Drosophila melanogaster: one gene and its partner. The protein of the gene in region 1 purifies or fractionates together with the protein of each later gene. This does not show direct contact. Each region holds a gene or a part of one and is shown in the gene's direction. Other genes may lie near its edges.

Region 1 (3,957 bases):
TTAGTAAACCTTAAGATTTCTATTTACACGTTGCTCAGAAAATCAATTTTTATTGAATAGGTCCTACTACTAATTAAAACTAGGAAAACTATCAGCTGCTCCTCGCCTTCTTGTTGGCCTTGATCAGCTTGGCCTTCAGGGCCTTCACGTCCACCTTGCTGGAGGAGGAGCCATCCTCCTTCTTCCGACTTGAAGCAGCTGACTCCTCCGTGGGCGGGACAAAGTCCTTGTTTCGGCGTTCGTCCTGGCGCTTGGCCGCCTCCTTCTGCTTTTCGGTGCGCTCCTGGTTGCGCTTCGCTTGCTTCTGCTCCTGGTTGAGGAAGTACTCTCCGCTGGCCAGCTGCTTGTCCACCTTGCTCTCCGGCTGGCTGGGCGGGAATGGGGTGTACTCCTTCTTTTGCTTCTTGACCTTCGGCTGCTTGCGTTTGCTAATGTTTTTGTTCTTGAACTTGGGCAGGAATCGGGACCAGTCCTCGTTGGCCAGACGCGGATCCTTCATCAGCTCCCGCTTGATCATCAGAGCCTTAATGTTGTATATGGGGTGCACATTGTTCATGGTCTCCAGGACTATATCCCGCACCTGCTGAAGGCCCTTGTAAGGACCCAAGGCGGAGACTGTGTTTCCTTGAACCAAAACGTAGCAATCGGTGAGCAGTTCAATGGACTTAAGGGTGGCGCCGTTAGGTCCGATCAAACGCTGTCGCCGCTTCACGAACTTCTCCTTCTTGTGCACAAGGTTTCCGATTTTGATGATGTCACACCCAATGTCGTCCTGCAGGACCCGCTTGGCCTGCTCGAAGGGAACACTTCTGGCCATCAGCTTGATCATATCCCGCGCCTTGATGATGATGTAGGGATCCCAGGTCTTGCGACTGGTCTTCACCACCATGCTCCCCTCCATCAAATCTAGCTCCGCCTTCAGGTGGTGCTCCGCCAAGCACTGCTCCACCAGAGGCCAAACCTCCTTAAGATAGCGCTCCCGATATTTGGGAAACAGCGTGGCGAAGGAGCTCTCCTCCACCATCCCATGCGGGTTGTCCTCCTGCCTGAAGGCAGGGATCTTCATGGACCACGCATTGTCCACCGGCTCGGTGCTGATTTTGGTCTCCTCCGCTTCACTTTCGCTCATCGTTACTCGAGTTTTCAGAAGCTAATTCTACAGGTAAGATTCTTGCACGCTTGTTTTGGCCAGGCTGCCAGATCAGCGGTAAATGCGTGTGACCATATCAGGGAAAACTGGTTGGTTAATATTATTGATAGATTACCTATTTAAAGGTTTATTTTTATCTTGATTATAAAATAAATTTTTCGATTGAGAATGTTTTAAAATATATATTCAAATACAATTATATTTGATCGTGTGCCAGATAAATGCCTTAACAAAATTGCGATTCCAATGTAACTCAAATATTAAGGATATTGGGTACATCAATACTAATAAAATATGCAATTCTGAATATCTAAAATATAAGAAATAAGTCAAACAATACATGATTTAGCCCTGACACCTTCACAAATTTTATTTAATTGAAAAAGAGCTCAGGGTATCTATAACTTATGCCATTATATGTGTTAGAATAATTAAGATGAATTAAAATCTTAATTCAATAAATTTCTTTTTATAGCATTCGCTATTATCCACCGTGGATAGTTTTTGAAACTGTTAACGGGAAACTAAATCCATTTATATTAAAAGTGTTTTTAAGTAAATAATTATTGTTTGTACTTTCAAAATAGGGGTATTAATTAGATTACCATATTCCGACTATGCGTTTTGGTATTTTCTAAACAAACTTTTATTTTCAAGCAAGGAAAGGTCACACGATTTTGTGAGCCTAAGCAAAGCGCACGCAGGAGTTTTCGGAGAGATAGAAAAATCGTCGCCAATTAAATATTTAACAAATTGTAAGGCCGATAAACAATTGTACATTTAATATATATTTTCTGGAAGGCTTATTACCGATTTGCTCGACCTAAGTGTGCGGACCTAACCGCATGTCCAATTTTGGGGCGTGGACGTGAACGAAAGCCGATAATTAGGATTAAACAAAGAAAAATCAATATAAAGTGGCCGATATTGTTGAAGTTGCTATTAAAAGACAATTTTCTAGCATTTCCCTTGGCTGCGGATTTAATTACGCCTTTGTGAAAAATTGTGAAAATCAAAATGGCGTCATTGTTGTGTGCGTGGCAAGGCGCTGCCAACCTGCTTTAACAGAAAAACTAAGTAACTTTCACATTTTGCTTGTACCTAAAGTCAAATTTGGGTTGTAACCAAAAACGAGGTAGAGAGACATTTGTGCTACAAACGTTCAGACGAACGCATGTTTTCGTATCAATACCAATACGTCGTAATATATAATTTTCGGTTTTCTGAGAGTGGACAGCCTTCAGGGCTGCACTGGCTTATCGATTACCGATAGCCGCGAGCACACGTCCGAATTTCATCAGTGCCTGAAAAAATCGCAACGCGTAAAACACGTTTTCTGCAGCTCCAAAACAAAAAACAAAACATTCAAGCGGAGGGATTATTGGTTTACTGCCAGTTGAGACAATAAAATAACAGCATTTATCATATTTTGGCGCTGCTGCTGGAATTTATTTAATACTCGTCTTAAAAGTGAATTGTAGGGATATAGCAAAATTTTATCCTGCTAAATTTGTTCTCAGACTGGTGTTTTCTCCTATTTTAGATACTATTGCAGTCCTTGAAAAAGCGAATTCTTATGGAATTACGTAATCAGTGGAAATTTAGTATCTATTAAGACACCCATACCAACAAAAGCGAGTGTCGGTGCACACACGCACGATCCAACACACGCGCACACGTTGCGTATGGTCACACCTACAAGTGTGGAAGAGAGACGGCTATAGGGAGTTAGCGTTGCCAGATAAATTTTCTTCTTTCGCACGACTAACAAAGAAAATGGTGAGTTATATTGGCTAGGAAATGCAACAACAGTTGTGCTTTATTTAATGTTTTTATTCGACAGCCTCGTATAGTTCCACTGCAATTGCTGAGGTGCCTGCGGGTGCTTTTGGACAATAATGGTGGAATTTTAAGTGCAGTGGAGGTGAAACGCATTTCGGGGTAAGTTCACCACTTGTCAGCAGCGACACCTATCGGCGTTTGCTAATATCAAGTTTTTCGCCCACAGTTTGATGGCCAAGTATTCAAAAAAACTCGTCTCGAAATGTGTGTATGTACAAATTCTGAAATCCACAAAGACGGAACTATTGGGCGACTTTATGGCGGTGGGCGGTTGGTCGCTGGTCTACACCTGGTTAAATGATGCCATCAGGGCCATGAACTGGCCGCTGGTACAGGAGATCCTGGAACTGCTGCTCCTTTCTCCCGTGGATGTCAATCGCCTCAAGATAAACTCAGCACCTATTCTGGTCAAGGGGCTGTGCAAGGATGGCGGCAACGAAGGTAAGTTTTCTTTGATAAGTCTTACTCTAGTCGTAGATTAGTGTTTTTGGGTCATGTTTTGGGCTGTCCTTTATGCTTTTAATTACCTAGGGATTACTAATTGGCTTTTCTCGACCCCGTTTTCCAGGTGTACGCATTCTAGCCAAGCGTTTGGTAGAGCAGTGGCTGAAGATTGTGACGGAAAACACAAGCATGACGATCCAAGGTGCTGCGCCACATATTGCAGCCACTACTGCCTCTCAGGTTCCTGCATCCGTTTCTGGAGCTGGCTCCGCTTCAGTTCCGGACTCTGCCTCTTCTTCAGACAGCACTGATAGCGCCGGAGCACCTGTGACGTATACCATCACCTCGGCGGCCAACAGTAGCAATTCCAACAGCATTACCATCAAGTGGAAGCCTTTGTTGGACAACCCAGATGGTGGCGACGAAACGGATTCTGGCACACAATCGAAAGACAACGAGGTGGAACATCTGGAAAAGGGCTCCTCCGCAACCCACTTATTAGCAGATGCTAGTCTGGGGAA
Region 2 (3,336 bases), 7.5 Mb from region 1:
AGGCGGATCTAACGACAGCCAAGTTTATACTATATTATGGGTAAGAACTAATATTATTATTAGTAAATATGAAGAAAAATTATACATAAAGCCATGTTATTGCACTAATATCCAAATTTCTTAAATATATTCAAGTATTCACCTATAGCATTATCTTTTATTCACAGACCCACGGTGGCAGATAGCGATATCTATGACCTAACCGATTTCCAGAGTCTTCTGGAGGACGAGCACTTGGATTTGGGCAAGAACACCGTGCTCTATTTGCACGGCTACTTGGAAGATCCGGATGTGGAGAGCATTCACGTCATAGCCGAGGCCTATCTGGAGCGAAAGGATACCAATCTTATCGTCCTAGACTGGGGTGAACTGGCCGATGGCAATTACATGTTCGATGCCTTCCCGAACCTCAAACAGCTGGGCCCAGAGTTGGCCAAGGTCCTGCTCAAAATGTTCGACCATGGCCTGGACATTGAGAAGTTCCACATTGTCGGACACTCGATGGGCGGCCAGCTGGCCGGACTCCTCGGCCGAGAGATTACTAAACGCACCAAGGGTGTCAGAAAGATAAAAAGGTAAAATGAAAGAGGTTTGATTTCAAATTATTTATTCATGCTCGGTTCGATTTTAGTCTATGCCGACGTCATGATATACGATGTTTAATATACGATATTTAGTTAATAATTTTAATGTCCAAAGCTTAACACTTTTGTATTACCATATGGTAATACAAAAAGTTTTTTTTTAGAATCGTTGTTCGGCAAAGTTTATAAAGTTTATATTGAATCCTTTTCTTGTCTCACTTATCTCCAATCTTCTTTTATAGAATTTCCGCTTTGGATCCCGCATTTCCGCTCTTCTATCCGGGCACGCACCTGTCTGCCAATGATGCGGAGTTCGTCGACGTGATACACACGGACGCCTGGCTGTACGGAGCTCCGACGAGCACGGGCACGGCGGATTTCTGGCCAAATGGTGGATACAGCCTGCAGCCTGGCTGTCCCAAGCGAAACTACAAGATGCTCAGCGACAACGATCTGTCCAGTCATCGGAGGAGCTGGTGGTTCTGGGCCGAGAGCGTTTCGGATCGATATCCCATTGGATTCGATGCTGTGCCCGCCAAGAAATGGTCGGACTTCAAGCAGAACAAAATAGTAGAGAATTGCCCGCCCGTGGTGATGGGTCATCATTGTCCCACGACGTAAGTTTCTACTTGCCTTATATGCATAGCGCAGAATTTAGTTTCATCATTTGAAATTGTGATTTTCAGAATTCATGGCGACTTTTACTTACAAACCAACGGACATACACCTTTTGCTCGAGGCAAGGAGGGCACTGTCTACGTTGACCCCAAGGATCTGCTGGGAAATACCCACAGCATCACCTGTGACTGCCCGTCGGAGAAAACGAATTAATAAGACCATCTACAATTGCACTGTGTACATTATGAAATGTAGCTATATTAATATTGTTGTTTCTATGACGCCTTACACCACATTTTGATTTACGAGAAAAATATACTTAAATTTTGTTGTTGAAAAAAACTTTGCATTACTTTGGGGTATTTATACATTATTATTGCACTATTTGGGGTTTTAAATGAGTTTTATTAATTACTTTTTTTGAATGGATTTTTTGAACTTTCAAATAATTTAAATCTGGTTGCTGGTTCCGCTCTTGCAATTCATTCCGGAACCAGTTCGAAAGTTGCGATATCGATAACACAGCTATCGACCCGTCAACCTCTGCCACCGATAACATTGTTTGCAACAATTGAGCATATTGACAACAAAACGAAATTCGACAGGCTAAAATGAAGATAAAACTAATAGATTCGGTGGTGCGCAGTTTTAAGGTGGCCAAGATCTTCCGAGAGAACACGGACAAGATCAACGCCATCGATTTTGCGCCCAACGGCGAACATCTAATATCCTGCAGCGAGGATGACCAGATCGTGATCTACGACTGCGAAAAGGGGACGCAGTCGCGCACGGTGAACTCGAAGAAGTATGGAGTGGATTTAATCCACTTTACGCACGCCAACAACACGGCCATCCATAGCTCCACCAAGGTGGACGACACCATACGCTATCTCAGCCTGCACGACAACAAATATCTGCGCTACTTCCCCGGCCACACCAAGAAGGTTATCTCGCTGTGCATTTCGCCGGTGGAGGACACCTTTCTCTCCGGCTCGCTGGACAAGACGCTGCGCCTGTGGGACTTGCGCTCGCCCAACTGCCAGGGACTGATGCATCTCTCTGGACGACCCATTGCTGCCTACGATCCCGAGGGCTTGATCTTCGCCGCTGGCGTTAACTCGGAAAGCATTAAATTGTACGACCTTCGCTCTTTCGACAAAGGCCCCTTCGTCACATTTAAACTTAATCAGGAGAAGGAATGCGACTGGACTGGCCTTAAGTTCTCCCGTGACGGCAAAACAATTCTGATCAGCACGAATGGATCGGTCATCCGGCTCGTAGATGCCTTCCACGGCACTCCGCTACAAACGTTCACGGGCTATCCAAACAACAAGGGCATTCCCATCGAGGCAAGCTTCAGCCCAGACTCGCAGTTCATCTTTTCAGGCAGCACCGATGGACGAGTGCACATCTGGAATGCCGACACTGGCAATAAGGTGTCCGTACTGAATGGTGACCATCCGGGACCGGTGCAATGCGTTCAGTTCAATCCAAAATACATGATGCTGGCGTCCGCGTGCACCAACATGGCTTTTTGGCTGCCCACATCCGAGGAGGGCTTGTAGGCAATGATTCCCGCTTGCTTAGCTTATAAGATTACAATTTAATTTATAAATAATAAATCAACATAACATAAACAGAGGCCTCTAACTGGATTCCTGGGGCTGGTCCTTGTGGCGGTCGTATCCTCTACGTATGCTGTTCAGGAGTTGTCCAAGATTATGACCCATTTTGGCACTAATGCCGAGCACGGGATTTTGCAGGCGACGTTGCAGTTCCTCAAAGTTGTTTTGGCCCTCTTCCACGTCCAGCTTATTGGCCACCACCAATTGCGGGCGACTCGCCAGACGTCCGCCAAACTGGCGGAGTTCGTGCATTAGCTGCTCATAGTGCGTCCATGGCTCCGGTGCACTGGCATCTAACACGAACAGCAACAAGGTGCAACGCTCGGCGTGCTTTAGGAACTGTATGCCCAAGCCCTTATTGCGATGAGCATCGGGCACGAGTCCGGGAAGATCGGCAATGGTGAGCTGGACATGATCATCGTACTGGACGGTTCCCAAGTGCGGACGCAGCGTGGTGAAGGCGTAGGGAGCAACCTTTGGCTTGGCCCGTGTCAGTGCATTCAGTAGGG

The links.
Region 2: the proteins of PNUTS (region 1) and Wdr82 purify together in Drosophila melanogaster (affinity purification with western blotting, with the first as the bait; one study listed by BioGRID). This does not show direct contact.

Annotation. Positions count from the first base shown.
Region 1 is NT_033779.5:868,648-872,604, forward strand, and holds the start of PNUTS (phosphatase 1 nuclear targeting subunit), read left to right. Parts: upstream 1-1,817; 5' UTR 1,818-1,905; exon of another isoform or gene 1,906-2,693; 5' UTR 2,694-2,926; coding exon 2,927-2,929; intron 2,930-2,993; coding exon 2,994-3,091; intron 3,092-3,158; coding exon 3,159-3,433; intron 3,434-3,560; coding exon 3,561-3,957. Other genes in the region: dbe (dribble), read right to left, coding at 92-1,129.
Region 2 is NT_033779.5:8,372,714-8,376,049, forward strand, and holds Wdr82 (WD repeat domain 82), read left to right. Parts: upstream 1-1,747; 5' UTR 1,748-1,813; coding exon 1,814-2,767; 3' UTR 2,768-2,836; downstream 2,837-3,336. Other genes in the region: CG17292 (uncharacterized protein), read left to right, coding at 1-40, 168-575, 827-1,201, 1,271-1,415; CG13390 (uncharacterized protein), read right to left, coding at 2,849-3,336. UniProt on the Drosophila melanogaster protein: Component of the SET1 complex that specifically di- and trimethylates 'Lys-4' of histone H3.